3 linked regions of the Lonchura striata genome follow. The protein of the gene in region 1 interacts with the protein of each later gene in a biochemical or structural test. Links are inferred from orthologs where the notes say so. Each region holds a gene or a part of one and is shown in the gene's direction. Other genes may lie near its edges. The genes, in order: PRMT5, RIOK1 and COPRS.

Region 1 (9,702 bases):
GTCCATACTGGTTTATACTGGTTTATACCGGTCCATACCGGTCCATACCGGTCCGTACTGGTCCATACTGGTCCATACTGGTTTATACTGGTTTATACTGGTCCATACTGGTCCATACTGGTTTATACTGGTCGCAGGCCCTGCGCCGCCTCCTGGCGCTGCTGTCCCGCCTGCGCCAGCAGGGGGCGCTGCAGGCGGCGCTGGACGAGGGGCGGGGCCGCTTCCTGCTGGCCCGGGGCGGGGCCGTGCTGCTCAAGAGCAGGTAGGGACACGCCCCCCGCCCTCATTTGCATCTCATTAGCATGCGCGCGGCCGTGGGGCGGCCGGCCGAACACAGCCCGGTTCGGCCCGGTCCGGCCCAGTTCATCCCAGTTCATCCCAGTCCATCCCAGTTCATCCCAGTAACCCCAGATCCATTCCCAGTTCATCCCAGTTCATCCCAGTTCATCCCAGTAACCCCAGATCCATTCCCAGTTCATCCCAGTTCATCCCAGACCCATTCCCAGTTCATCCCAGTTCATCCCAGTAACCCCAAACCCATTCCCAGTTCATCCCAGTTCATCCCAGTTCATCCCAGTGACTCCAGACCCCGTTCCCAGTTCATCCCAGTTCATCCCAGTTCATCCCAGTGACCCCAACTCCATTCCCAGTTCATCCCAGTAACCCCACAGCCCAGTCCCAGTTCATCCCAGTTCATCCCAGTTCATCCCAGTGACTCCAGATCCATTCCCAGTCCATCCCAGTCCCTCCCAGTCCATCCCAGTCCATCCCAGTAACCCCAGATCCATTCCCAGTTCATGCCAGTGACTCGAAACCCATTCCCAGTTCATCCCAGTAACCCCAGAGCCCATTCCCACTTCATCCCAGTCCATCCCAGTAACCCCAAACCCATTCCCAGTCCATCCCAGTCCCTCCCAGTCCATCCCAGTCCATCCCAGTAACCCCAGACCCCGTTCCCAGTCCATCCCAGTCCATCCCAGTCCATCCCAGTAACCCCAGACCTCATTCCCAGTTCATCCCAGTTCATCCCACTCCATCCCAGTGACCCCAAATCCATTCCCAGTTCATCCCAGTGACCCCAAATCCCCTCCCAGTTCATCCCAGTCCATCCCAGTTCATCCCAGTTCATCCCAGTTCATCCCAGTTCATCCCAGTAACCCCAGATCCATTCCCAGTTCATCCCAGTAACCCCAGACCCATTCCCAGTTCATCCCAGTGACTCCAAACCCATTCCCAGTTCATCCCAGTGACCCCAAATCCCCTCCCAGTCCATCCCAGTTCATCCCAGTTTGTCCCAGTCCCTCCCAGTAACCCCAAATCCCCTCCCAGTTCATCCCAGTTCATCCCAGTTCATCCCAGTCCATCCCAGTAACCCCAGACCTCATTCCTAGTCCATCCCAGTTCATCCCAGTTTGTCCCAGTCCATCCCAGTAACTCCAAATCCCCTCCCAGTCTGTCCCAGTAACCCCAGACCCATTCCCAGTTCATCCCAGTAACCCCAAACCCATTCCCAGTCCATCCCAGTCCCTCCCAGTCCATCCCAGTCCATCCCAGTAACCCCAGACCTCGTTCCCAGTTCCTCCCAGTTCATCCCAGTCCATCCCAGTGACTCCAAACCCATTCCCAGTTCATCCCAGTGACCCCAAATCGCCTCCCAGTTCATCCCAGTCCATCCCAGTAACCCTAAATCCCCTCCCAGTTCATCCCAGTCCATCCCAGTAACCCCAAACCTGTTCCCAGTTCATCCCAGTTCATCCCAGTGACCCCAAATCCATTCCCAGTTCATCCCAGTGACCCCAAATCCCCTCCCAGTTCATCCCAGTTCGTCCCAGTCCATCCCAGTAACCCCAAATCCCCCCCAGCCCCACCCCCTCATTACTCTCATGAATATTCATCAGGCTGGAGGAGCTGCAAATCCTATTGGACACTTACCCTGCCCCCACCATCGAGGCCCACCGGCGAATCAGGTACGAGACCACGCCCCCTCATTAGCATAATGCGAGCTCCACCCACATTGCCACGGCCACGCCCCTAATTAGCATAGCAATGTCATTGGCTCATTGCCATAGCCACACCCCCTCATTAGCATAATGTAGGCACCACCCTCTATACTGTAGCCATGCCTCCTCATTTGCATAAAACACTGCCCCTCATTAGCATAACCCTCTCATTAGTACCACCCTCATTAGCATACTCGTTGCCATTAGCATAACAATTACAATGACCACACCCACTAATTAGCATATCGAAGTCACCACACCTCATTAGCATAAAACAGCCGAATCCCTGCGCTTCATTACCGCAATGGTGCCTCATTAGCATAATTCTGCCACCATTATGACAGCACCTCATTAGCATAACCCCGCCCTCATCACCATTACAGTATCTCATTAGCATACCTCATTGACTCATTATCATGACACCACCTCGTTAGCATAAACACACCCACATTTCCATAGCCCTAAACCTCATTACCATAATTTCATCCTCATTACCATAACCCCTCCCTCATTACATACCTACACCAAATTAGCATAACCTCACTCATTACCATAATTTCATCCTCATTACCATAACCCCTCCCTCATTACATACCTACACCAAATTAGCATAACCTCACTCATTACCCTAATTCCATCCTCATTACCATAACCTCCTTATTACATGCCTACACCAAATTAACATAACTTCACTGCTCATTAACATAAACCAAGCCTCATTACATACCCACACCAAATTACCATAAGGTCACTTCTCATTACCATAATTCTACTCTCATTACCATAACCCTGCCCTCATTACATCCCCACAACAAATCACCGTCACCACCCACCTCATTAGCATAACCCCACCTCATTAGCATAACCCCGCCCCATTATATCCCCACATCAAATCCCTTCTCACCCCCACCACATTACCATAATCCCGCCCTCATTACCATATCCCCTCCCCTCATTAGCATAACCCAACCTCATTACCATAACCCCTCCCTCATTACATCCCCACACCAAGCCCCCATCACCCCCGCCCCTCATTACCATATCCCCTCCCCTCATTACCATATCCCCACCCCTCATTACCATAACCCCTCCCTCATTACACCCCCACACCAAATCACCATCACCACCCACCTCATTAGCATAACCCCACCTCATTAGCATAACCCCGCCCCATTATATCCCCACATCAAATCCCTTCTCACCCCCACCACATTACCATAATCCCGCCCTCATTAGCATAACCCCACCTCATTACCATAACCCCTCCCATTACACCCCCACACCAACCACCATCCCCGCCCCTCATTACCATATCCCCCCCCTCATTAGCATAACCCCACCCTCATTAGCATAACCCCTCCCATTACATCCCCACTCCAAATCACCATCACCACCCACCTCATCACCATATCCCCGCCCCTCATTAGCATAACCCCGCCCCTTTTCCCCGGCAGGGCGGGGCTGTCGGAGGCGCGCGGCGCCGCGCAGGCCGAGGCGGCCATCTTGGGGGCGGAGCTTGGGGCGCTGCGGGCGCTGGGCCCGGGGTTCCGGGCGCTGGCGCTGGAGCTGGGCCGGATCCGGCGGCACTCGGAGCAGAGGGGCTGGGCCCTGCGCCAGCTCCGCCCCCCCGTGACGTCACCGCCGGCTCATTAGCATGCCGCCGGACACGCCCACCCGCCGCCCTGCCTGCCGTGTGTGGGCGGGGCGGGGATGATTGACAGCTGGGGAAAGGGGATGATTGACAGCTGGGGGTGGGGAAGGGGATGATTGACAGCTGGGACAGGGGATGATTGACAGGTGGGGTGGGGGATGATTGACAGCTGGGGAAAGGGGATGATTGACAGCTGGGGTGGGGATGATTGACAGCTGGGGTGGGGATGATTGACAGCTGGGGAAAGGGGATGATTGACAGCTGGGGAAAGGGGATGATTGACAGCTGGGGAAAGGGGATGATTGACAGCTGGGGAAAGGGATGATTGACAGCTGGGGGTGGGGAAGGGGATGATTGACAGCTGGGGAAAGGGATGATTGACAGCTGGGGTGGGGGATGATTGACAGCTGGGGAAAGAGGATGATTGACAGCTGGGGAAAGGGGATGATTGACAGCTGGGGAAAGGGGATGATTGACAGCTGAGGTGGGGGATGATTGACAGCTGGGGTGGGGGATGATTGACAGCTGGGGAAGGGGATGATTGACAGCTGGGACAGGGGATGATTGACAGGTGGGGTGGGGATGATTGACAGCTGGGGAAAGGGATGATTGACAGCTGGGGAAAGCGGATGATTGACAGCTGGGGCAAGGGATGATTGACAGGTGGGGCGGGGGGATGATTGACAGGTGGGGCAAGGGATGATTGACAGCTGGGGAAGGGGATGATTGACAGGTGGGGCAAGGGATGATTGACAGCTGGGGAAGGGGATGATTGACAGGTGGGGCAAGGGATGATTGACAGCTGGGTTGGGGCAGAGGATGATTGACAGCTGGGGGCGGGGCTTGGCACTGAGGGCGGGAAATGGTGGGAAAAATCCAATGGGAATTTCAATAAATGTCCCAAAAAATCTCAATTTCTGACCAAAATCTGCGGGAATTTAAATAAATCTCAAAAAAATACCGAGTTCTGACCAAAATCTGTGGGAATTTAAAAAAATCTCAAAAAAATACCGAGTTCTGACCAAAATCTGTGGGAATTTTTATAAATGTCCCCAAAAAAAATCCCAAATTCTGCCCAAAATCTGCAGGAATTCAATAAATGTCCTGAAAAATCCTAAAAAATCCCAAATTCTGACCAAATCTGTGGGAATTTCAATAAATCTCCGAAGAAATGCAAAATTCTCCAGAAAATCCACAGGAATTTCGATAAATGTCCCAAAAATCCCAAATTCTCCCCAAAATCTGACAGGAAATTCATAGAACTCCCAAAAAATCCCGAATTCTGACCAAATCTGTCGGGAATTTCAAAAAATCTCCAAAAAATACTGAATTCTGAGCAAAATCTGCGGGAATTTAAATAAATGTCCCAAAAAATTCCTAAAAATTCCGAATTCTGACCAAAATCCCCCTGGAATTGAACAGAATTCCCAAACAATCCCAAATTCTCCCCAAAATCTGACCGGAATGTCAAGAAATCTCCCAAAAAATCCCAAATTATGCCCAAAATCAGTAAATCTCCCAAAAAATTCTAAAAAATCTTAAATTCTGCCCAAAAATCTGCTGGGAATTTTGATAAATTCCCAAAACATTCCAAATTCTAACCTAAATCTGCGGGAATTTCAATAAATGTCCCCAAAAAATGCTGAATTCTGACCAAAATGCGCCTGGAATTGAACGGAATTCCCAAAAAAATCCCAGATTCTGCTCAAAATCTGACAGGAATTTCACAGAATTCCCAAAAAAATCCCCAAAAATCCCAAAATCCTCCTGGGAAATGATTGCCAGCGGGGCGGGGCGGGGCCCAGAGGATGATTGACAGCTCTTTCCGCTCGCCGATTGGCTGGCGGGCTGTGATTGGCAGACAGGCCACGCCCATCACCCACAACTCTGATTGACAACTCGCAGAGCGCTCTGATTGGTCAGTGCCTCTTGTGGGCGTCCCCCTCTGTGTCCGCGTTGATTGACAACCGAGCCCGCGTTCCTATTGGCTGACAGCCCCCCATGGGCGGGGTAACCCGCCACTCCCTTGACTGACAGCCGCCTCCGCGCTCTCATTGGCTGCGTTTTTCCCGCCTCCGCTGTGATTGACCGCTCTCCGCGCTCTCCCATTGGCTCCCGGCGATTTTTGTGGGCGGGCACAACGCTGCGCTGTGATTGACAACTGCTCCTCGTGTTCCTATTGGCTGCGCGGGAGGCGGGCTCGACGCTGATTGGCCGCCGCCTGAGGGGACGGGGGGTGAGCGGGAGCAGCGGCGCAGCCATGGCGGCGGGGCCGGGCGCGGCGGGCGCCGCTCGCGTCTCCTCAGGCCGGGACCTGAGCTGCGTGCCGGAGGTGGCGGGAGCGCTGGGGGCCGTGGCCAGGCAGGGGTGAGAGCGGAACCCCAAATCCCAAAAAAAACCCCCAAAAATTCCAACGCGGGACCCCAAAAACCGAACCCCGAGCGCGCCTCGTGTTCCCAAAGGGGCCGGAGGGCGCGGGAGGTGCCCGGGTCCCCTCAGGGAACCCCAAAATACCCCAAAATTCCCTCAGGGAGCCCCGAAATTCCCTCAGGGAGCCCCAAAATACCCAAAAATTCCCTCAGGGAGCCCCGAAATCTCCAAAAATTCCCTCAGGGAACCCCAAAATTCCCTCAGGGAGCCCGAAATCCCCAAAAATTCCCTCAGGGAGCCCCAAAATCCCCAAAAATTCCCCCTAGGAGCCCCAAAATCCCCAAAAATTCCCTCAGGGAACCCCAAAATACTCCAAAATTCCCTCAGGGAGCCCCAAAATCCCCAAAAATTCCCCCTAGGAGCCCCAAAATCCCCAAAAATTCCCTCAGGGAACCCCAAAATACTCCAAAATTCCCTCAGGGAGCCCCAAAATCCCCAAAAATTCCCTCAGGGAACCCCAAAATACTCCAAAATTCCCTCAGGGAACCCCAAAATACCCAAAAATTTCCTCAGGGAGCCCGAAATCCCCAAAAATTCCCTCTAGGAGCCCCAAAATCCCCAAAAATTCCCTCAGGGAACCCTGAAATCCCCAAAAATTCCCTCTAGGAACCCCAAAATCCCCAAAATTCCCTCAGGGAACCCCGAAATCCCCAAAAATTCCCTCAGGGAGCCCCAAAATCCCCAAAAATTCCCCCTAGGAGCCCCAAAATCCCCAAAAATTCCCTCAGGGAACCCCAAAATCCCCAAAAATTCCCTCAGGGAGCCCCAAAATCCCCAAAAATTCCCTCAGGGAACCCCAAAATCCCCAAAAATTCCCTCAGGGAACCCCAAAATCCCCAAAAATTCCCTCAGGGATCCCCAAAATCCCCAAAAATTCCCTCAGGGAACCCCAAAATCCCCAAAAATTCCCTCAGGGAGCCCCAAAATCCCCAAAAATTCCCTCAGGGAACCCCAAAATACTCCGAAATTCCCTCAGGGAACCCCGAAATCCCCAAAAATTCCCTCTAGGAGCCCCGAAATCCCCAAAAATTCCCTCAGGGAACCCCAAAATCCCCAAAAATTCCCTCAGGGAGCTCCAAAATCCCCAAAAATTCCCTCAGGGAGCCCCAAAATTCCCTCAGGGAACCCCAAAATCCCCAAAAATTCCCTCAGGGAGCCCCAAAATCCCCAAAAATTCCGTCAGGGAGCCCCGAAATCCCCAAAAATTCCCTCAGGGAGCCCCAAAATCCCCAAAATTCCCTCAGGGAACCCCAAAATACCCAAAAATTCCCTCTAGGAGCCCCAAAATACCCCTAAATTCCCTCAGGGAACCCCAAAATCCCCAAAAATTCCCTCAGGGAACCCTGAAATCCCCAAAAATTCCCTCAGGAATCCCCAAAATTCTCCAAATTTGCCCCAAATTCCCCTCAGAAATTCCCAAAGTTCTCCAAATTTGCCCCAAATTCCCTCAGGGATCCCCGAAATTCCCCAAATTTGCCCCAAATTCTCCTCAGAGACCCCAAATTTCTATCAAGGATCCCCAAATTCCCTCAGGGATCCCCCAAATTTGCCCCAGATTCCCCAAAATCGCCCAAATTTACCCAAAAATCCCCTCAGGAATCTTAAAATCCCATCAGGAATCCCCAAAATTCCCCAAATTTGCCCCAGATTCCCTCAAGAATCCCCAAATTTGCTCCAAATTCCCTCAGAAATCCCCAAAATTCCCTGAGATCCCTCAGGGATCCCCAAATCTCCTCAGGGATCCCCAAAATTTCCCAAATTTGCCCCAAAATCCTTTCAGGGATCCTGAAATCCCCAAAAATTCCCTCAGGGAGCCCCAAAATCCCCAAAAATTCCCTCAGGGAGCCCCAAAATACCCAAAAATCCCCTCAAGAAACCCCAAAATACCCCAAAATTCCCTCAGGGAGCCCCAAAATCCCCCAAAATTCCCTCTAGGAGCCCCGAAATTCCCAAAAATTCCCTCAGGGAACCCTGAAATCCCCAAAAATTCCCTCAGGGAGCCCCAAAATCCCCAAAAATTCCCTCAGGGAACCCCAAAATCCCCAAAAATTCCCTCAGGGAGCCCCAAAATCCCCAAAAATTCCCTCAGGAATCCCCAAAATTCTCCAAATTTGCCCCAAATTCCCCTCAGAAATTCCCAAAGTTCTCCAAATTTGCCCCAAATTCCATCAGGAACCCCCAAATTCCCTCAGGGACCCCCAAAATTCCCCAAATTTGCCCCAAATTCCCCAAAATTCCCCAAATTTGCCCCAAATTCCCTCAGGGATCCCCAAAATTCCCCAAGTTTGCCCCAAATTGCCCAAAATTGCTCAAATTTGCCCCAAAATCCTCCTCACGGACCCCCAAAATCCCCCAAATTTGCCCCAAATTCCCCAAAATTCCCCAAATTTGCCCCAAATTCCCCAAAATTCCCCAAATTTGCCCCAAATTCCCCAAAATTCCCCAAATTTGCCCCAAATTCCCCAAAATTCCCCAAATTTGCCCCAAATTCCCCCAAAATCTCCGGGATCCCCAAATCCCCTCAGGGATCCCCAAAGCAAAAAACAAATGTGCCCAGTTCAAACCAGTTCAAACCAGTAACTCCCAGTTCAAACCAGTAACTCCCAGTTCAAACCAGTAACTCCCAGTCCATCCCAGTCCATCCCACTTTGATCCCAGTCCCTCCCAGTTTGATCCCAGTCCCTCCCAGTTTGCCCAGTTTGGATTCCCAGTCCGTCCCAGTTTGCCCAGTTGGGCTCCCAGTTCATCCCAGTCCCTCCCAGTTTGCCCAGTCCATCCCAGTTTGATCTCAATCCCTCCCAGTTTGCCCAGTTCGGGTTCCCAGTCCCTCCCAGTCCCTCCCAGTCTCTCCCAGTCCCTCCCAGTCCCTCCCAGTCCCTCCCAGTCCCTCCCAATTCCCTCCCAGTTCCCTCCCAGTCCCTCCCAGTATAAACCAGTTCCCTCCCAGTTCCCTCCCAGTCTCTCCCAGTTCCCTCCCAGTTCCCTCCCAGTTCCCTCCCAGTCTCTCCCAGTTCCCTCCCAGTTCCCTCCCAGTTCCCTCCCAGTCTCTCCCAGTCCCTCCCAGTCCCTCCCAGTCTCTCCCAGTCCCTCCCAATTCCCTCCCAGTTCCCTCCCAGTCCCTCCCAGTCTCTCCCAGTCCCTCCCAGTTCCCTCCCAGTTCCCTCCCAGTCCCTCCCAGTCCCTCCCAGTTCCCTCCCAGTTCCCTCCCAGTTTGATCCCAGTCCATCCCAGTTCCCTCCCAGTCCCTCCCAGTTTGATCCCAGTCCATCCCAGTCACCCCAAACCCCAAACCAGTTCCCTCCCAGTTCCCTCCCAGTCTCTCCCAGTCCCTCCCAGTCCCTCCCAGTCCCTCCCAGTCCCTCCCAATTCCCTCCCAGTTCCCTCCCAGTTCCCTCCCAGTCTCTCCCAGTCCCTCCCAGTCCCCTCCCAGTCCCTCCCAGTCCCTCCCAGTTCCCTCCCAGTTCCCTCCCAGTCCCTCCCAGTCTCTCCCAGTCCCTCCCAGTCTCTCCCAGTCCCTCCCAGTTCCCTCCCAGTTCCCTCCCAGTCTCTCCCAGTCCCTCCCAGTTCCCTCCCAGTTCCCTCCCAGTCTCTCCCAGTCCCTCCCAGTTCCCTCCCAGTCTC
Region 2 (9,640 bases), on another chromosome or scaffold:
GAAGGAGGAGGCCTGTGGAGAGAGGAAAGTCCTGTTCCTGCTCTGAGGAGCGAAACAAAGTTGTATCACTGAAACTTTGAAGGACACAATGGTCAAAAAGTAACTTCTGTTGAATTAACTGTTGTTGAAAGATTAAAGCAGGCGTCCCTGCATGTGCTAACAAGCTAATGAAGAACATCCTACTATATATATGACTATCACTCATCTCTCCACCCAAATCATGCTGTACATAAAGAGGGAAAAGGACGATAAGACTGGGCTGTGTATAAGGAGGAGCTGTAAGGAGCTCCCTGTTCTGTGGGTGGAGAGAATCCCTTTAATGGGGTCGACTTTATCCCTTCATTTATCTCGCTGTTTTCATTCTTCCTTGGCATCAAGTAATGTCCCAAAATGCTGGAGCAAAGAGTCCTTACCAACTTTCAGCATTTCCTGGGGGGAGTGACACTTTGTATCACCAACTAATTAGAAGAAGGAGAGCCCACATGGGTTGACAGCATTCTATTCAGAGAAGGTGGAAAAGCAAATGAGGACAAATGTGAGTAAACTTCACCCATCCTGTTACTGCAGTAGTGGAGTTGTGTTATTCTGCTATTGCAAAAGAAGAGGTGACACCCTCTGTCCAGTTTCTGCAAACTATTTTTTCACCAGCTTCAGTGGAAATTTCCATCTGTGAAGATAAGTCAATGTGGGGAAAATTATAAAATTATGAAAATTAAGAAGTTCACCCTTATACAGTGTCTACAGTCCTTGCACTTATATCAAGTTCCAGTGGAGTGACCAGTCTAAAAGTGTATTTCAGATTTTGGCCTAACGTACAGTAATCCCTGATTTTAAAGTAAGAATTCTAAAAAAGGGAACAAAACTCACCAAGAAATCAAAATTCAGCCGTTAGCTAAACCCTTTGATTTTAGAAAATCAAGTAAATAAATGTTAACATTAAAAAAAAAAGAAATAAAAAAGTGTTCCATGCTCTATGAATTGGTCTCTTTACTGAATTTTGAGAAGACTGATTAAAGGGAGATTTTACTCACTGAAGACAAAGAAAGAAGGCAAAAAACATGTTTGAAATGCTACTGAGTTAGTCTGTCAAAAGAAGACTATACTTTTTTTTACTGAATTTCCTAGATATATAATAAATTTAGCAATGAACAGGAGCCAAGTTTGATGCACCACATTTAAATGATTTGGTTTACTTTTTTTTTTATTACACCACCTGTAACTGAAAAAAAAAAAAAGAAAACTATAAAAAAATAAAAAGCATTTTAGAGTGGTGGAAACCATCTGAGAGTACTTCCTCTTTTGTTGTAGTGCATTCCACTGCTCTTTATACCTATTTTCACTTCTCTGTTTGACTGTGTCAGGCCTGGTATGTGCACTATGTTCTCATGGAAAGAATAAGATTATATACTCATGTTATTCTCTCTCCAATTGTTTGGAGGCTATGTTTGTTGTCCAGTGGCTGCCTACCAAAAGCATGTAATTTGTAACTTCTTTAATTTTGAATTTTAATTTAATTTTAAATTAAATTTAGTTTTAAATTTATAATAACTGTAATTAAACATAATTTAAATATTAATTAAAATTTTAAATAATGTGTAATCAGAATAGGAACTGCAATGCAAATGCATTATTCCCTAAATTCATTACTTAGTTAATTCTAGGAACAACTCCAGCACCTGCATTTGGTATTCTTAGCACTTCTCTTTTATGTTATACATCTGTGAGGCCTGGCACTTACATATAAAATTTTGCAATATAAGTGCAAAAAAACTACTACTACTAATTTTATCAGAGAAGGGTATTTTCATCATTCAAGCCTCCATGGAATCTTACCATGGCTTCTTCTGGAAAGAAAGTATTGCTAGCTGAGTTCAAATTATCTTCCCCAGGAAGCTTTTTCTCAGTATCAAAACCTGAGAATGTCTTGAATAGAGAGACAGAGGGTTGAGGGAGAAAATGAGACATGTCTGTTATGGAGGCTACATTAATAATACAGTCCAGCACTGACTCCACATTTCTGCAAATGGCTCTTCATGAGGACCTACAACGGGCTTAATTGATAATTATTCTGGCAATGAAACATCTCCCAGGCTCCTGCATTCTCTTTTAGTATTGTTTTCTTTTTGCCAGCCCAACATTCTCCTTTGATGTGGTTGTTCTTCCTTGCCTAGGGGTTCCTTCTCTGGGAAAAAAATGTATCCACACCCAAAGACTGCTTCCAATCGACTATGCAGAAAGGTATGTTGGTTCTACAACAAGTGTTTCTATGACTTTGGAACTCTGTAGTTTTCTGAGAGGAATTAAGTTTTCCACAGTGTTTTCAGAGAATATTCATGGAGAAGATACAGCTGAGGAAAATAGGTATTTTGCTTGGAACTTAATGAATGCATCACTTGGCCTCCTCAGTGTGTATCCTTTTTCATCACGAGTCCTCTATTAAAAATATGATGGAACTACATTAATGTTCACAGCAGTATTCAAATATCATATTAGCTAATTTCTCTTTTATATATATGTGTGCCTATTCCATTTAAACCAATGTCTTGTATAAAGTGAAAATATATCCTAGAATATTGGAATATCAATCATACTGCATGAGACAGAGAAGATCCTGGTCACTTGTTGCGTTGCTGTAATAACTGCTCAGGACATAGCCATTTTCAGATAGGTTTTTGTATAAATCACCTAACAGTCCCTTGACCATGCTTTGTTCCCCCTTCTCTTGTTTCTCCATGCTCTGTACAGTCCATATTGTTCATGTGCTTCACTCATGCCATGGCAGTAAGAGCTGACCTCAAAATCTAACAAAGTCTGTTGATTTAAACAGGTTTTGCACCAGCTAAAGTTCTGTCAGACAGCACTGTGAACCACCAAGTACAGTGTGGCATACTTTGGCAGGGGAGGGGAGTGTGTTAGATAAATGTCACTAAAACTTGCTCATCCTAGCACATGGCACTTGAAATCCCTCTCGTTTAGCCTCACCAACAAGAACATACTGCTGTCAGATTTTCCAAGATGGGCTCAGAAGCACAGGTTGCTTCACAGAGCTGGCAAGCAGCATCTTTTCTTGCCACTGAGTTGTACATTTCATCCTGCAAATATGAAAAGGAAGCTCTTGATGCTCCTCTCAAGTCAGTCTTCTTCCAGGAAGGAGCAACACTGCAGTTCTCCCAGTGATTCTGAGTATGGTCTCAGCAGTTTCCCAGCTTCAGTGTGAACAGAATATATACCTGTCCTACATAATATGTTAAGTACAGAATTAGTGCATCTTTGAGTGTGAACAAACATTTTTTTACACTCAGTCTTCAGGAAATATAACAATGTAGCCACAAGAAGAGTAAGAGAGGTAGTATTTCTTTTGGAGTCTCATGTGACATGGAGCTACAGTGGTCCAAGGGAAATGCATGGTCTGATAGAGGTCTGTCCTCCCATGGATTAGGGGTGATAACTGGTAGATCTCTGACACTTTTATCATTCTCCTTCTGAAAGTATCACCATTGCTAGTGGACTGTTTCCCTTTACCCTGTTGAAGATGAATTGCTTGTAGAACAGTTTGTGCCTGCTTCCAAAGGAGCTCTTAAAACCTGGGACAAAAATTGTGTGCTGCACTCTAAGGCTGTCAAAAAAGCTTTGCAGAAGCCTGAAGGAATAAAAATGAGTGTGGAAATCCTCTGGCAGTATTATGTTTCCAACAGTCTCTTGTCATTACAATAAATGGACATATTTACTTAAGAGCACTGAATAATTTATTAGAGTGAAATAATCCTGTAGAACAGTATCTATGCACATGGATTAACCCACATGGATTAAGAGTCCTTCAACACCTGGTTCTAAAAGAAAGATCAGTAAACAGGTGATCTTAATCCAATTTCTGTTGTAGGTGGCTGTGCATTAGGGAAAATGAGCACAGAGACTCAAAGAACTGATTTTATGGTAGTGTTGCAGATGCAAATGACACCTATTGTATTAAATCTCTTTTAAAGGTGTCTCTACACAAGCATGCATGTTTTCTGCACAATCACAGTTTTTCCATAGCTTTTATACATACCACTTGGATAATGCAAAAACATCTACAAAAAAGAGACTGCATTTTAAAATGTAGTCATGTACCAGATAGCAAAAGCCCAGCACTCACTTTTATTTTCCTAATCCTACATTATGTCGGTATGTAAACAGAATATAATGTTATTCAATGCAAGGAGTGTTAGGAGCTAAGATGCTTCTAGCCAGGCCTGCAAATTTGGAATTCCTTTGGCTTCAATTAGAGCTTTATTTTAATAAAGATTGGAATTTAATATTTTAGAGTATACCAAATAAAACTTCTCAGTATCTACTGCATAGGACACAGATCATCACTTGTGTTTTAGGGAAAACAACCATGAATCTGTGGCAGGAATGGTCATTCCCAGTCAAGAATTGAGGGCTTGAAAACGCACTGTTTTTAAGGTTATATTATTGAATATTATAGAGATGTGCCACAGCTCATTGTTGACGTATCGGCAGCTGCCAGGGATTCAGAGAATCCCAGAATGGTTTGGGTCGGAAGGGACATTAAAGTTCATTTAGTTCCATCCCCCTGCCGTGGACAGGGACACCTCCACTAGCCCAGCTCGCTCCGAGCCCGGTCCGGCCTGGAACACTTCCAGGGATGGAGCATGCACAGATCCTCTGGGCACCTGTTCCAGAGCCGCACCACCCTCACATGGAAGAACTTTTTACCGCCATTTAATCTAACCCTACTCTCTTTCAGGGTGAAGCCATTCCCCACTGCAAGCCCTTGTAAAAGTCCCTCCGTGTGCCGGCTCCGGGCCCGCCCTGCGCAGGAGCCCGGCAAGCGGACGGGAATGAGAACGGGGTCGGGATCGGGAAAGGGAATGGGAAAGGGAACGGGAATGGGAACGGGAGCGGAAGCGGCGCTGGGGCGGGTCCGTGCCGGCCGCGCTCGCCCGCGCTGCTTTTGTCCCTCTGGCGGCGCCGTAGCGGCCGGGCCGGCGCCTGCGTCCCGCGGGCATCCCGGCTGCCGGATCCTCCCGGCTCCCGGCTCCCGGCTCCCGCCATGGATTACCGAGCGCTGGTGATGAGCCAGGTCGTGCCCGGGCAGTTCGACGATGCGGACTGCTCGGACAGGTGAGGGCGCGCCGAGGGGCCGGGGCTGCGGGCGCTGGGGCTGCGGGCCAGGCGAACGCGCGGAGCAGCCCCGGGATTTGCCCGGGATGTGACTTCGCCCTGGGCGGCGGGGAAGGGAGAGCGGGTGGTGCTGCCGCGTTACCGGAGGAGGTGAGAGGGAAGGCTGCGTGTGTCTCTCGGCTTCCCTTTTCCATTTCCCGTGCTGCTTTCGGACACTTGTCCTGGCAGAAAGCCGTGACACGTTATTGACGTTACAGAATCGCAGCATCAATTAGGTTGGAAAAGACCTCAGAGATCATCGAGGCCAAGCTGTGAGCCAGCACCACCGTGGCACTGAGTAACAAGTCCAGTCTTTCCTTAAACATCTGCAGGGACGGTGACTCCACCAGCTCCCTGGGCAATCCATTCCAATGTCTAACCACCCTTGCTGTGGAGAAATTCTTCCAAATTCTCCTGGTGCAACTTTGGGCCGTGTCCTCCTTTCCTGTCACTTGTTGCCTGGGAGAAGAGACCGACCGCACCTGGCCACAGCCTCCTTGCAGGCAGCTTTAGGGAGCGATCAGGTCCCCCCTGAGCCTCCTCTTCTCCAGGCTAAACACCCTCAGCTCCCTCAGTTGCTCCTCGTAGGACTTGTGCTCCAGAACCTTCACCAGCTTAATTTCCCTTTCCTAGACCTGATCCAGCACCTCAATATCCTTCCTGAATAGAAGGCCTCAGAACTGGACTCAGTGAATTAAGATCCAACTGAAAATTTAGTCATTTATGGGGATAAGTGTATTGAATTTTTGGTGACTGTAACAATAATTTTTAGTTATAGAGACATCTGTGTTTCTTTTAAGTGACTCTGTGGAAGACACAGAATCATGTAAAGAGGGTGAGGTCCCTGAGAGCTGCCAGTTATGCACGTGTGAAGAAGTTAATGCTGAAGAAGGAGATGGTGATGATAACAGTGATGCTGAAGAGGATGATGAAGACTGGGACTGGGATGATGAGGTGGGAAGACTCACAAAGCGCCACAATGCTGCTGGTGGATGCAATCCACAGGTATGCTGGAGGTCATTCTGTGGGCTTTGAGGGTGCCCAAGAGGTAATGGGGCCAGCCCGGAGGCTTTGTTTTTTGTTAGTGTTATGCTGAGTACAGATGCAAACAGCTCAGTGTTTTTTCAGAATTTTTTCCTTGAGAGAATCCCCTTCCTTTGCATCTGTTCCTCTGAGGTGCTGTATGTGTATGTACATTGTAGCCGGAGCTCAGTTTGATTTTCTTGTCTCAAACCCTGTTGCTGGATTCTCTGTGTCTGTCTCTACTGCAGTTTCCTTCTCTTCCCTACCTTCCTCAACTTCTCTTTCTTTGCTCACCCTGATCTCTACCAATGTTCCTAACTTTTTGGTATTTGTCCTCTGTGTTTCTGAGCATCTTCCTCAGCCTATTTATTTTTAGACTATCTGCTAATCACATGCAGGGTGAATCTAGTCCTATTTTTGACTTAATAGTGAAGAAGGCGAAGAAAACTACAAGCATGCGAAATGGAGCTGGGGGTGCTTGGAGTGAATTCATTTAGCATGTATGGTGTTGGCATAGAAACTCTGGCATGTTGCACTACAACACAAAATAACTTATACACAGTTCTAAGATCAAAAGAGTAAGAGGAAGTAAGTTTTATTTCTGACTTTGCAATATATAGAATTCCAAAAGTGACAGTGGATTGGAGGAAGAAATTGCCACCTCTCCAACCACACTAGTCAAACCAACAGTCTGTCAATTCTCTCTTCCCACAAAGAATGCAAAACAATCATTATTTACATGACAGTGCATGAGAAACTCCAGTAGAAATATGTAAACATCAGAAGGCATAGAAAACTTCTAAAAGAACTTTAAAATTTTTGAAAGAGCAGGGTGACACTGGCGTTGTGCAGAATAAAAAGCACTCATGAATGTAAAGAAGGATGCTAGTTCTCACATCAACTTGGACACTACAGGTTCAAAACCTCATTTTTCTTATTGCTACCAACTTAGTAGAACAGTAGAGATGAATCAGAGTGGTGCTGATCACAGCATAGCATGTCTGGCAGTGCTTGTCCTGGGTGGTATATTGCCTTTATTTAGAGGTTTATGCTGTTCAATGATGGTGAAATCATGTTCAGGTATTAGTTGTGTTTGGGGAGGACCACATGTAAGAAAAGACAAAATCATGGAAAGTTTTCTCAGTTCATTACCTCTGCATTTTTTCCTTACTTTATTTCTTTAGATTTTCTATTCTCTTCCTTTTACAGACAGAAAAAGTGCTCTGTGAGAGACTTGTAGCTTCCTAGACTAAAAGATTACTCTGGTGGAGGACTTTTAGAATTTTAACTGATGTGTAACTTGTATTTTCTTTTCTTGATTTAAATAAAATCTGGTGTTAATCCATATCTGTTTCCTTATATCTCATGTGCTTTTCATCTTACAGCTTTAGGCATAGGCATTTGAGATGACTTTTCCAATGAAATGGTTTGAATTAAAAAGGGCTGTGTACAGAACATGACTTATGTTAACAAATCCTTTATTTCAGGCAAATAGGCAGACACTTAATTGCTCTTCAGCAAAACTGTCAACCCCTGCAGGCAAGGTTTTAAGAAAATTTGAACACAAAATCAATTTAGGTGAGTATAATTGCACTATTGTCCATTATTTAAACAGTTGCCACTCTGTGGCATTCTCAGACTAATTTCACTCATGTTAAGCCAGAACTCACTGGAATGGGTGAGTTAGCCATTGCCGGAGAGATTAAAAATGGCTTTTGAGTACTTGAAGTTGCCTTTAGTCTCCAAGAACTGGGTGTCATACCCCCCCCCTCCACCTTCAGAACTACATGGCTGTTTTGTTGGGGCTTTTTCTTTCCCCTTAATTTCTCCAGGCAACATGAAGTCTTTCTTCCCTAGATTCTCTGTAGGAACAAGCTGTTTGGGTGGACGGAAGGTTTCAACTCTCTGTTGTGGCATTGGTGATTCCCACAGCTGCTACCACAGCTGCATTTTCTAGACAAATGCAGTCCCCTGTAGTATTGGGGGTGGGGGGTACATGATGCAGCAGTTCTCTCTCAGGGGCAGAGTTCCTGTGCTAAGTGAAGAGGCTGCTGTCCCAGCTGGTGTGGTTTGATTTTTGCCCTGAGATGGAGATGGCTGCTCAGTATAGCCTGTCAGGACTAGGGTAGGTGTGATTGGCACCTTCTGACAGGGTTGAGATCAGAGGTAGGGTTTTCCTTTATAAGAAAGTGGTGCTAGGGTGAAGGCTGCTGGTATTTGTAGCCCAGTACAGCAGCTTTTATACGTTTAGCATTTAATCAAACACCATTTAAATGCATTGTTGAAGAGAGTCTGAGAGGCTATTGCTTATTGTGTTAAGAAAAATAGTATTTAACTGTTATAAGAGAAGAACAGACAAATTTAATGGTTATCCAAAAGGCATTATTGGTATCACATTTCCAAGTCTCTGGAATTGTCTCACTCATCTGTGTTGTTACCTTATAGTCCTAACCTGAAATGTAAACAGAGTGAAGTTCTAGGTTAACCCTGGTGTGTAGGAAACTTCTTTGAGTTTTGGAATTCTGGTTTTTTATTCATCACTTATGTGTTTTTCAGATAAGCTAAATTTTGATGACTCTGTTATAAACAGAGTCACAGAAAAGTCTAGACAGAAGGAAGCAGACATGTGAGTATTACTTATGCTTCTATTTTCACTTAAATACTTTAAACTCAGAAGTATAGTGCGTATTTCCTTGTTTAAGGAAAGTTTGTTAAGAAAAATGAAGTTTAGAAGAAGTCTACATGCAGTTTGCCCTTTGGTCTTCCATTTTTTGGTTTCCAAATGGAATAATCCCAAAGCTGTTGGAATCGTCCCAAAGTTTTGATTCTTTTGTTGCTGGTAGCACATCTGATTATGTTGGTGTAGTATAGTAAGACAGAAGTGATGGGTGTCATTCACCTAGAAAAGACCCTTTGATACTCTTTTTTTCTAAACAGGAGTCCTTAAGCCGCTGAGATAAAAAGGTATTGGAGGCATTCAGAAAAAGCAGGAGGATAATCTATAATGAAGGGCTCTGATGTTAACAGTGGTGATTTGTTGATTTTTTTCCTTTCCATCCCTCTGTCTGCAGGAGAAACCTTTGATTTTGTATGAATGAAAGCCCTACTTCTTAAGGATGTCATCCTGTCTTTGACACAGAATGTCACAATTTGCCCTGTCAAAGTACCGAGCCCATATGTGGGATTGTAACATTTTATTTTCATTTCTGCTAGGTACCGAGTCAAAGACAAGTCAGACAGAGCAACAGTAGAACAGGTAAGTCCTTTGTTTATCAAAATTCCCTTTTGACCAGAGCAAGTAGTGTAGAATTTTTGAATCAATGAAGAAAACAGTTAAAGCAGGAACAGAGTTTTGGAATTCGTTTTCACTTGTTATTATGTTGAAGAGATCTCTTGTTTCTTTCTTTATTTCAAATTCGAAGGTTAGCTTTGGTTCCATAAACATTTAAGA
Region 3 (10,353 bases), on another chromosome or scaffold:
GCCTGTGGCCATCATTAAAAATAACTTTATCTCCTTCTGGGGAGATCACTTTTACTGCCTAGGCTACAGGTGGCCTGCCTGGACGTGATTAACCTGGACTTGATTAACCAGCCTTGTCAGTAAAGTACAGTGACCTCTTTGGATAAAAGCTAAGATTGCAGACTTGTTAATCATGGAATCATGGAATCATTTGGGTTGAAGGGGATCCTAAAAATTCAGGTCCTTCAAACCTCTGTGTGAATTAAAATTACTCTTGCAAATAAATCTGAGCAAAGTTTGGTGCTTGCACATGGGCAATTTAATTATGCATCTCCTTTTAGGTATGAGCCAGTGAATTAATTAATTATTCTGTGCAACTTGGTTCCCTAGTATTACACTAAAAGAAAAATGCAGTGTTGTTCTTTGCTCCTTAAGGAAGATAAGTAAATGCTCAGATTTCCACTTTATTTTGGAATGTTTGCAGGTACCTAGGGCATTAGACACATAATGTGTAATTAGATATTCATTGACATGATACACAATCCAGTGGACTTCTTGGAATACTGTCATCTGGTATATATAGGAATAATGCTTGGGTTTTTTTTATTCTTCTCTATTGGTTCTAGAGGCTGGAGAGGACACTGAGTGTGTTCAGCAAAGCCCATGAGTCCAATTTGCTGTCAGAAGCTCTCTACAAGCAGTGGGTAAGAACTGACAGAACAAATAGAAGCTGAGGTTTTCCTGCATTATTCGTGTGCCTGCCTTTGCCATTTTGAGTAGACACAAAGATGAATGATACTGGTTCAAAGCTCTGCTTTTTAACAAAGCTGTTTCTGCTGGGTTTTAGCTTCAGCTCTTACTGGACTCCAGCCTCTCTGAGAAGGCTGTGGAGGTGGCAGAAGCTGCAACCAGGCAATTCAGCCAGTCCGTGGAAACGTGGCAGATGAGGCTGCGCGTGCTGATCCAGCTGAAGAGTGATGATGTGACCCAGTGCTTTGAAGAAGCCATTAAACATGTGAAATCTAAGGTCTGTGCTGGTCTTGGGCCAGAAACCCCTGATGATTGGTTGTTTTGTGGGGTTTTTCTGCCTTTTTCTTCATTTTTTTCTTTGTTGTTGTTGTTTTGGCTTTTTTGTGTGGGTTTGTTTTTTTTGTTGTTGTTGATTTCTGTTTTTGTTTATTGTTGGTTTTGTTTTGTTTACAAGGCATTTTAAGTTCCTAACCATTTTTAAGGTCAGAAATAAGAACTTGGATGTTTCACATGCAAATTGTATTCCTGAGTATTAGGGAATTGTCAATTCACTTAAAATTCACATGTCTAAAGTCTGAATGCTTACAGTTGATATTTTGATCTCCTAGCAGTGAGCTGGTGTTTGTGTCTTAATGGAAAAATGTGTTTCCCTTTCTTCACTGTTGATACACCTGTGTGGTATTTCAAGCCTTGAATTAGTTGTGTACTCTCCTGCTCTGTTCCATTTTAAACACTGAACACAATGAGCGAGGAAATAAGAAGGTTTCTTCCCTTTTTTGTTCTTGGAAGTCACCTCTGTGTACTGCAGTGCTCAGAGGTGCAGAACTTGGTTCTTGTCCCTGGCAACACAGCTGTCCAGCTAAGGATGATTTATCCTGTAAGTGAGGAAGGAAATGAGAAGTGATTTCAGTGTGCAGTTCAAAGTTGTCTTTCCAAGAGCTGTGTCCAAAGGCTGTTTTTTATGGCAGGTAGTACAGAACCTGATGGCTGTGTTGCTGTCTGTTTCTGTAAGTCAGTCACTGTATTTCTGCTATGATTGTTTGCTGACCTTGTAGGGCACTTTGCCATTGTGGACCCTCTGGGTGGAGTGGAGTGAGAGCACAAACAGCAAGGAAGACACTGAAGCTCTCTACCAGGTACTTAGCTAATCGAAATCTACTTTTATGTCTTTGTCAATAACGTGAAACAATGTGTGTGGATGGAACATGCAACAAATGCTTTCTCCTGAAGTTTGTTCATGTGTGTATTGATGTCAAAGAATTTAAAGCAAAACTACGTGCATTAAAAAAACCAGTTGGTCATAGACTTACAGGCACAAGTGTCATTCCCATGTCCTAAGGAATATGGATGTTTGTAAGCACAGCCAATGATGGACTCCTACTTTGTGGTCTAGAATATTTGCTCTGTTTTCAGATACCTATCTGAGCACAGAAAAGAGAATTTTCCAGTTTTTGTGAAAACATCAGTCTTGTTACAGAAAAGTCAAGATCAGAATGAGGACTTTAATCTCTCTATGGATTTCGTCAGTAGTGTAGGACAAAACATTTTCTCTTTGCCTGGCTTATTGGGTTGTGTTTCTTCCTCCCAGTTGCCACATAAAACATGTACTTCAGGTGGAAGCTTGAATTCAGTTGTTTGTAGAGTACTGTGAAACCCTTTGCAATAAGGGGTTTAAGGAAATGTCAGTTCCAGCCATATAGAATACTGGAGGAGAAATGTGTTTTAGATTTAGGAGATCTCCTTTGTGTCAGATGCCTAACTAGGGAGAAGCACTAATTGAGCTATTTAATTGTAGGTTATGTGATAGGTTTACTTTTTGTTTATTTTGTTTTTTTTTTCCTTTTAAACTTGCAGAGATCCTTACGTGCCACAACACCTGCTGAATCTGTGACTATGAAAGAAAGGTACCTTGACTGGACTTACAGAAATAGTGGTTATAAGAAAGTTAAAAGACTCTTTACCAGGTAAAAAAAATACCTTCAAACCTGATTATTCTAGGGTATATGTTAGAAGTCCTTAAATCTAAAGTAACTTATTTTATTTCAGCCTGTGTGAAGATCGTCCATTTTCACTTGACTTCTTCAGGAAGATGATCCAAATAGAAAAGGAGCAAGTAAGTTCTTGACTATCCAATTAATGCTTTGTATTTGTAAAGTACAGTTCTAACCTGGGATTTAAATAGGAAGCAGAGTGGTGGTGTTAGTCTGTGATCAGTTCATGTTTGTCCTCTGCACTTGATTCACAGGATGTGATACAAACCCAAGTTCCATAGTAACTAATCTTCAGCAGTGTGTGCATGTAATTGCCATTACTCTCTTTCTTTGTCACAGTCGAATCATGCTGCAGATTCACTTCTGTACAAAATAAGTGGCCTTTTAATACCTTCCTTTTTTAGGAATCCTGCAGAATGCTTCATCTGAGAGAATATTATGAACGTGCCTTGAGGGAGTTTGGCTCAACAAATACTGGTGAGGGAGATTCTGGTTTTTATTATTTATTCATTCATTCACTGCTGCCTCTTTTATTCCCACCCATTTTAAAATGTACCTGTTTGTTCTGCTCTTGTGCTTGCTGTCATGCAGATTGGAGCTTATTTCTTCTGTGCCATTAAGAGTAGGACACTGCAGGGACCCTCTCCCCTGTCATCCCAGGATCACTGACACTGGGATGGCTTCAGCACAATTAGGAGCAAATCACATTCAGACACTGGCTGGCATAAGAGATGTGTATCATTTTAAATTTGGATTTATGAACAGTATGGAGCTATATATTTATAATCAAGATTTCTGCAGTATTAATTTGAAGAAGGTACGCAGCACAATTATTGTTGCATTATTTCTTCAGACATTACTGTTCCAGTTGGAATATAGAACCCAGGATTTTTGCTCCTCAAGGTGCCAGAGATTTTAGTCTTACAAAGTAAACTGTACTGCATTAATATTAGAGACACTTAGAAAAAGAGTTTCTAGTGAGTCTTGATATGCTTGTTAAGTAATATCTGGTCAAAATCTAAACAGAACTTTCATTTTCCTTTTAAAGACCTCTGGCTGGATTATATCAAGGAGGAGCTAAGTCATCCCCAAGGCAAACCAGAAAACTGTGGGAGCATTCACTGGCGAGCTATGAAGATGTTGCAGGGAGATCTGGTGGAAGATTTTGTTTCTAAATACACTTTATTACAAACTGGACATTTATGAAAAACTATACATAGTTATAACATGACTGCATTTTTTAACTTCTTTGTACAAAGGTAAATACGTTCCTGGACTTTATTAAAGTTTACCTTTACATTTTATGTGACAAAAAAGACTCATCTTCTCTGTTGCAGTAATTTCTTTCTAGTGTTGATTCTGCCAGGGGCAGGTTCAAGTGCACAGTCAGAGGAAGCAAACCCCTGAGGGTGTTTTCATCAAGACTTCTAAAGAGCAAACTTTTGATCCTGCTTAAACATTCAGATAGTTGTAGTGCATCAGTTTTTACACTTTGGAAAGCTAATATTACAGCACCCAAATGCAAAAAACCCAAACCAAACCCCATGGAAACTACACCTGTGGGTCATATTTTTATTGTAGGAAGCTGAATCATAAAAAGTGGAACACTTTTCATTAGGTAATCAGAAATCAGTAAAATTACAATGTTTATTGCTTCTTAGCGTAGAACTAATCTGTAATCCTCATGACAAAAAGAAACAGCCTCTGCAGCTCCCTTGCATTGGTGTTTGCATCTTGAGAGTGATGAAGGGTAGAGGGGAGCTGAGATCTGTTAGCCATGTCCTTGAGGTGAGAGGGGAAAGCTCTGATCTACACTTCCAATTTTCTGTCCACCATGCCTAAAAAACGTGTAATGTTTTTTAAAAGGGTGCTGTCCTTGGCTGTTTACAGAGCCACAAACCTGAGAAATCACCATAAATGATCAACTGAGAAATGTAGGGAAAGTACAAAAATATTAAACAAGTGTTCCTTTGTGCAATTTCCCAGTGACTGAAGGGTGACATAATTATAAGACAGGGAAATATTTATTGATTTTACACTCAAGTAGAAATTGCAGCTCCTCTCAAGCAATGAATCCCAGTAACTTAACTAGCTGGAAATAAAGTTTGGAGCAGCAGTTTGGTAAGATTCTTCTGTTACCAGATCTGAAGTACATTCTGCTTTTGTGTTTCCCACACTTTTAGCCAGGCCATCTCCTATATCCCTGCTAGTTCGCTTCCACCTCATTGTCTGACATTGAGATTTCCTTATTGAGAATCTCTTACACCCTCCCTGCCCCTTATGCTCTTACTCCCTCTCTGAACCACTTCTTGCTTCGTCAGTTGCTCAACTAAAAGTTTTTAAGTGCAAAGTCTGGAGTTTTAAAGTCCAACAAAGCTGGTAACTCCATCATTTCAGAAAGTGGGCCCTTTTCTGTCAGCTGTTCTGGTTCCTCACAGAACTTTGCCATTCTCCCCAGGGCAACATGCCCTGCAAGCACACGTGCTTGAAACCTGCCACAGCTGTCCAGCCAAGGTGCTTCCCGTCTCTTCGTGTTCTGAGCATGCTGCTACCACGAGGCCGGAAGGAAATTGTTATTTTTCGACAAGGGGGAAAGTCCGCCCAGCCATGAGAGACATCGATACTTTATTTACAACTTCACAAGTAAAAAAGTGCTTTCTCAGAGCTCTTACGCCTGTATTTGCCTCGGTTGGATGGCGGTGTTGGGCCATGGTTGCACTAGACGATCTCGGAGGACTTTCCGTCGGAATCGTGTCTGTGATTCCGAAGCTGGGCGCGGTGGGCTCCGCAGCCGGGGCGCTGCGGGCGGCGTTGCGGGCACCGAGGCCGGGCCGGGAGCGGCCGCGCCGTGCCTGCAGCCTCCGCCCGGTGCCGCAGCGATCCCGCCCGCCGGCGCTGCCGATGGAGCCCCGGGGCCGGGCCGCGGGCCCCGCTCCCAAGGTTCGGGGGTCCCGGGGAGAGCGAGGGGGCGGCGGGGCCGCCGTGAGGGCTCGTCCGGGGTCCGCGCCCTGCCCGCACCGCCTCCTTGTCGCGCTGGGAGTGAGGGCAGCTCGCTGTGCCCTTCCCGCACAGGCGCTGAGGGTCTCCTGCTCGCCACGCATCGCGTCCAGCCCCTCAGGGCTGTCGGAGGGTCCCGCAGGGCGGCTGGCTCAGTGTTGGCGCTTCCTCCACTCCTCGTGTGGCGATTACCCCTGTGCTGCCCGCGGTGCTGCCCTCCCGGAGGGGCACGGTGTGGGCCGGGGCTGTGCGTGAGGAGACGGGCTGTTCTGAGGGTGAGCGATGGCAGCAGCAGAATTAGCTGTAGCTCTGCAGGCTCACCTTCTGAAGTGAAAGCCAGTTTGTTGTTAAACCTGTGATTCATCAAGGGAACAAATGGAGACGCTCGGGAGCACACGGGGTAGCAGTTTGGTGAGCAATCAGAGCTGCTACTGCATTCTTTAAAAATGTCTCGTAGGTGATGGCTGCCGCCTCTGGGGCTGCAAACTCTGAGGGGGAACAGCTTCCTAATAAGACAGAAACCATGATCGGGAAGCCCAGAAAAGGTAGGACAAAACAAAGGAGGTCGTGAATATTGAAACTTGTGCACTACTTGAGAAATCTACCGAAAACCTTTTGGTGATTCTTGGGAAATGCTCTTTACTTACTGCACTAAATTATTTCCATGTAGCTATTTGGTACATGAGTAATTAATCAATATGACTTTTTTTTAAAAAAACAGAACTTTTTTTAAAATACCTACAGGTGAATGTGATGAAACAAGACTGTTGTGTCCTTTGCCCTAGTTTACAGAGTTATTTTCCAACAAGAGTCTGTGGAAAATCCTGATTTGTGCTGGTGTTGTGGTGCAAGGCTATGTCCACTCTTTCCAATCATCTGAAATGTGAAGCACCTCTGTAGTGATATTACATATCTGGGAAACTGCATGTATTACAATAAGAGTAGTAGTCACAAAGTGCATTTTTGTACCTCTCTGAACTCTTAATTGTTGTTTAATTTCTGAATGTATCTGTTGGTGCTTTCTACTGGTTTTAGAATGTTTTCTGCAGAATATTCCAAATGTTCCTGATGGCAAGTCTGAAGAAAGTGAATCTGCTTCTACCTCCCCCAATGAAGATGATGTCAGTGGCTCTACTAATGAGGGCTGGTACAATATATATGCTGACCTGGATGTGTGGGATAGTGAAGTTTCTAATGTGCCTGAGTCTTCAGGGCAGCAGGATGCATCTGAGCATGAGGTGGAGGACTGGGATAAAGAATTGGAGGAGTCTACATGTGGTCCTTACGGTGAGTACACGTTTACTTGTGCTTCATTTGAGTTTTGGATAGTTGGAGGCAGGTGCTTTGCAGGAGAATGTGTTTAAGTAACTCCAAGTTTTATTTTGGGAAGCAATTTCTCGTTATGTTGACCTCCTGGATGTGTAATGAACAATTTTGTTGTCAAATACAGGATTTAAAGGTGGTGTTGTGCATTTCACATGGAACTCTTGCTTGAGCAATTGAATTCCTAGGGAGTGGCATGGTAAGGAGGTGAATTCCATGCTTGTGCTGAGTTTTTCTGGTGAAGCAAGTTTTCAGTGGTGTATCTTTGTTATTTTGAAGCAGAAGAGAAAGGTACATGGCATGCAGGAACTAACTTTTTTGTGTAAAAGTTATTCAAGAAAATTCAAGATTGTTAATTATAATGTCTTTCTAGAGCATGGAGGTGTTTGGAACAGTGCTCAGTCTCTGAGTATGGCTTATGTTTACTGTAGTTTTTTTTTTTATTATTTTTTGGTGGTTTTTTTGGTTTGTTTGTTTGTTTGACTTTGGTTTTGTTGAAGCTTGATCCTCCTAAGTGGTTGTGCACATGACCAGTCCCATGGACAAAAGTGGCAACAAATAAGAGTGTCGCTCAAACATTTAGAGTTGAATTATTCCTCCAGTTTGTAACTTGTTTTTATGGTGACTCACATATGAAAAAGTCTCCATTGGCCAGGCTGGTTCTTAGCACAGAACGGGTGGGATGGGGTTTAGCCAGCAGTGGCTGATAACCTGCTGTGTCTTTCTTGATGCAGAATAGCACCATTTCCATTTTTTCTTCTCATTAATGTGTATCTTTTTGTAATTAAGATAATTTTCTTTGCTTAGGAAATATGTTCATTTTAATCTCATAATTAGAATAAACTTTTGTATTTTAATTCCATTTATTTCCATTTAAATTCCATCTATTTCCATTACCATTGTTTGGTAATGGAAGAAAGTGAGAAAGATTTTCATGCTTTCTGTGAAACCACTCTTGATTTTAAAATGGAAATATAGTATTGGTTTTGCACAGTGGGTAATTTGAGGAAAAGATTGTTCCCTTTTTGGAGGTTTTCCCTCTCTTCCATTCGGAGCTTTCATTTTAATCACTTATATGGTCAAATTTATGGAATGTTTTGAATTTTGTACTGGAACTGTTCCTCTTTTTCCCCCTTTATTTAACTTGCTCATCCCACCTGTAGCTCTTTAAATCCTCACAAACTAAGGCAGCTGTGTTTATTGGATTCGGGTCCTTCTGAAGGATACTAAATACGAGCGAGCATCTGAGTTGTTAACTGCTACAAATAGGAAAATGTACTTGGTTGGTCACTTCATGGCTTTTTAAGTGTCTTAAGCTCTTGCTGTGATGACTTGTTTGGCAGTGCTGCTGGAAGGCTGACATGTGGGATATTGTGTTGGGTCCTCCATGCTCTGGGCTTTTTCTTTGCTCAGTGTCTGCTGGCAAATCTTTATGCTTCTGTTAAAATACTTCGACCTATTTTTTGCTAGATTGGTTAAATACAGGCCCATTAGGCTTAATTCTAGCCTAGTGGAAATACTGTTCTAAGACAGCTTTTACAGGACCCCACCCTCCCATTCTGTCCAGCAACCCAGCTCTTAGAGGGTTTGGAGGACTCCTCATTGGGATGGTGTTATGAAAGCAGCAGGAAGGGGGAAGGCAAATAAAATTGATAGTTTCATGAGTCTTTTATTCCCAGGGAAGATGGGAAAAAATTGTATGTCTTGTAAGAGCTGGTGCCAGACATTCTAAGTCCCAGGAATATCAGTGAGCTTTCTGGAAAACTGTTTTGTGTGGCATGAACCTTCCTTAAAATGAAGACATTGCCAAAGTCAGTTTTCTGTTTGGCTTTTTTAAAGGTCTAATTCATAAGTGCTGTCAGATCAAATAAAAATAGTGAACTGGAAGATGCCATAGACCTCCATAATAACCTGCTACACTATTTCCACTACTTTCCTGAGTATCTCCCATGGTTTAAACCTTTTATTTTATCTTCTTTAGATGCTGACGATCTCTCCTGTGGAAGCTTTGAGGAAAATAATCTTTTCGGCTCATATGTATGGAAGGAGGATTGGTTTTACAACCCAGGCTGTCACCACGCACCGTGCTTTGTTTTTCCACCGCGAGTTAGAGCAGTTGAGAAGGGCCAGTTTGATGATGCTGATGAATGAGGCTGAGTCTGGTCAGAAATAAGTTTGGCTTCTGTGCTGGATTATGTTCTTCAGTGACTGAGCTGTGCCAAGTCCCTTGACTTTTTTGCAGAGTTTGGCTGAGGCCAGAAATGCAGCACTATCTCCAGAGTTTTGCTTAGGCTGTTTCTGAGCTGTTCATAAACTGCCCACCCTTGCTCTGGAGACAAGAATGCAGGTGCTGGGTGTAAGGAGTCAGTGCATTTCTGGAGGTTTTGTTTATATATGTAGATCTATGTTGCTAATTAATTGCTTGAGGAGAAGTATTTAATTTCTAAACTTCAGCTTGTTTGCCAGGCTTCTGTCAGTTTTGACATGCTGATCCCTGTGTTTTGTGCAACTTTTAGTTTTCTTTCCTTTTAATTTGATGCTGTCAGACTGGTTTAGATAGCTGTAAAAACTCTCCCTCCTTCAAGCTTATCTGTTGTATTTCCATATGGTTCTAAAGTCCATTTGTGATTCTTATACTGGTGTTTAACAAAATCGCCTGTGGCGAATACGGAACAAGTTGTTTTGTGTTTATGTATTTCATCAGAAAGGAATTACAAATACATGATACATGTTTTGCACATACATGTGCCGGTATATAGGGGGGCATACTCCATCCACTAGGAATGCTGGGTGCTTAAGGCTGCCTCCCAACAAAGATTTCTCCACATCAGATCTTCTTGTGTATGGGCACATTCCCCTAGAGTCCCACAGTTGTCTTTATTATATTCTCATGCAACATCAGATGTGCAATGACAAAGAAAATATCTCTGCCTATATATATATATATTTCAGTATATCAACTCAGTGTCCTGCAGACAGTAGTGAATTAAGCTTCCTGATGTTGTTCTGCTGTTTGTGTTGTGGCAAATGAGGAGATGCGACCACAAAATACCTCCACAGAGTCCCTAAGAAAATAGATGGAACTAGAGCCATATCCTTGTCACCTTTGCTCTGGAGTTAAAGGAAGTGTTCTCAAATGAAGTATATAAGTGGATTGAGTGGCTGGGCACCTGAGTAACAATAACTTTTGACATGCTCATGTTTCATTCAACACTTTTATCGCAAAAACATTTTCATGGCTGTGTGTTTAGACACTCACTGAACTGAAGCACTGTACAGTGTGAGTTTTTTTTTTGTTTGTTTTGTTTTTGTT

What was found.
Region 2: the proteins of PRMT5 (region 1) and RIOK1 are reported together in a solved structure, tested with the Homo sapiens proteins (2 studies listed by BioGRID, with this or other methods). The link is inferred for Lonchura striata from reciprocal best matches to the Homo sapiens genes PRMT5 and RIOK1.
Region 3: the proteins of PRMT5 (region 1) and COPRS form a complex in vitro, tested with the Homo sapiens proteins (3 studies listed by BioGRID, with this or other methods). The link is inferred for Lonchura striata from reciprocal best matches to the Homo sapiens genes PRMT5 and COPRS.

What each region holds. Positions count from the first base shown.
Region 1 is NC_134641.1:823,287-832,988, forward strand, and holds the start of PRMT5 (protein arginine N-methyltransferase 5), read left to right. Parts: upstream 1-5,906; 5' UTR 5,907-5,911; coding exon 5,912-6,018; intron 6,019-9,702. UniProt on the Homo sapiens protein: Arginine methyltransferase that can both catalyze the formation of omega-N monomethylarginine (MMA) and symmetrical dimethylarginine (sDMA), with a preference for the formation of MMA.
Region 2 is NC_134603.1:93,194,529-93,204,168, reverse strand, and holds the start of RIOK1 (serine/threonine-protein kinase RIO1), read left to right. Parts: upstream 1-4,968; 5' UTR 4,969-5,056; coding exon 5,057-5,127; intron 5,128-5,966; coding exon 5,967-6,171; intron 6,172-7,676; coding exon 7,677-7,767; intron 7,768-8,745; coding exon 8,746-8,815; intron 8,816-9,402; coding exon 9,403-9,445; intron 9,446-9,640. UniProt on the Homo sapiens protein: Involved in the final steps of cytoplasmic maturation of the 40S ribosomal subunit. Involved in processing of 18S-E pre-rRNA to the mature 18S rRNA. Required for the recycling of NOB1 and PNO1 from the late 40S precursor.
Region 3 is NC_134621.1:8,029,320-8,039,672, reverse strand, and holds COPRS (coordinator of PRMT5 and differentiation stimulator), read left to right. Parts: upstream 1-6,177; coding exon 6,178-6,262; intron 6,263-6,752; coding exon 6,753-7,004; intron 7,005-9,021; coding exon 9,022-9,191; downstream 9,192-10,353. Other genes in the region: UTP6 (U3 small nucleolar RNA-associated protein 6 homolog), read left to right, coding at 606-683, 827-1,006, 1,785-1,865, 2,584-2,693, 2,776-2,842, 3,125-3,197, 3,769-3,926. UniProt on the Homo sapiens protein: Histone-binding protein required for histone H4 methyltransferase activity of PRMT5.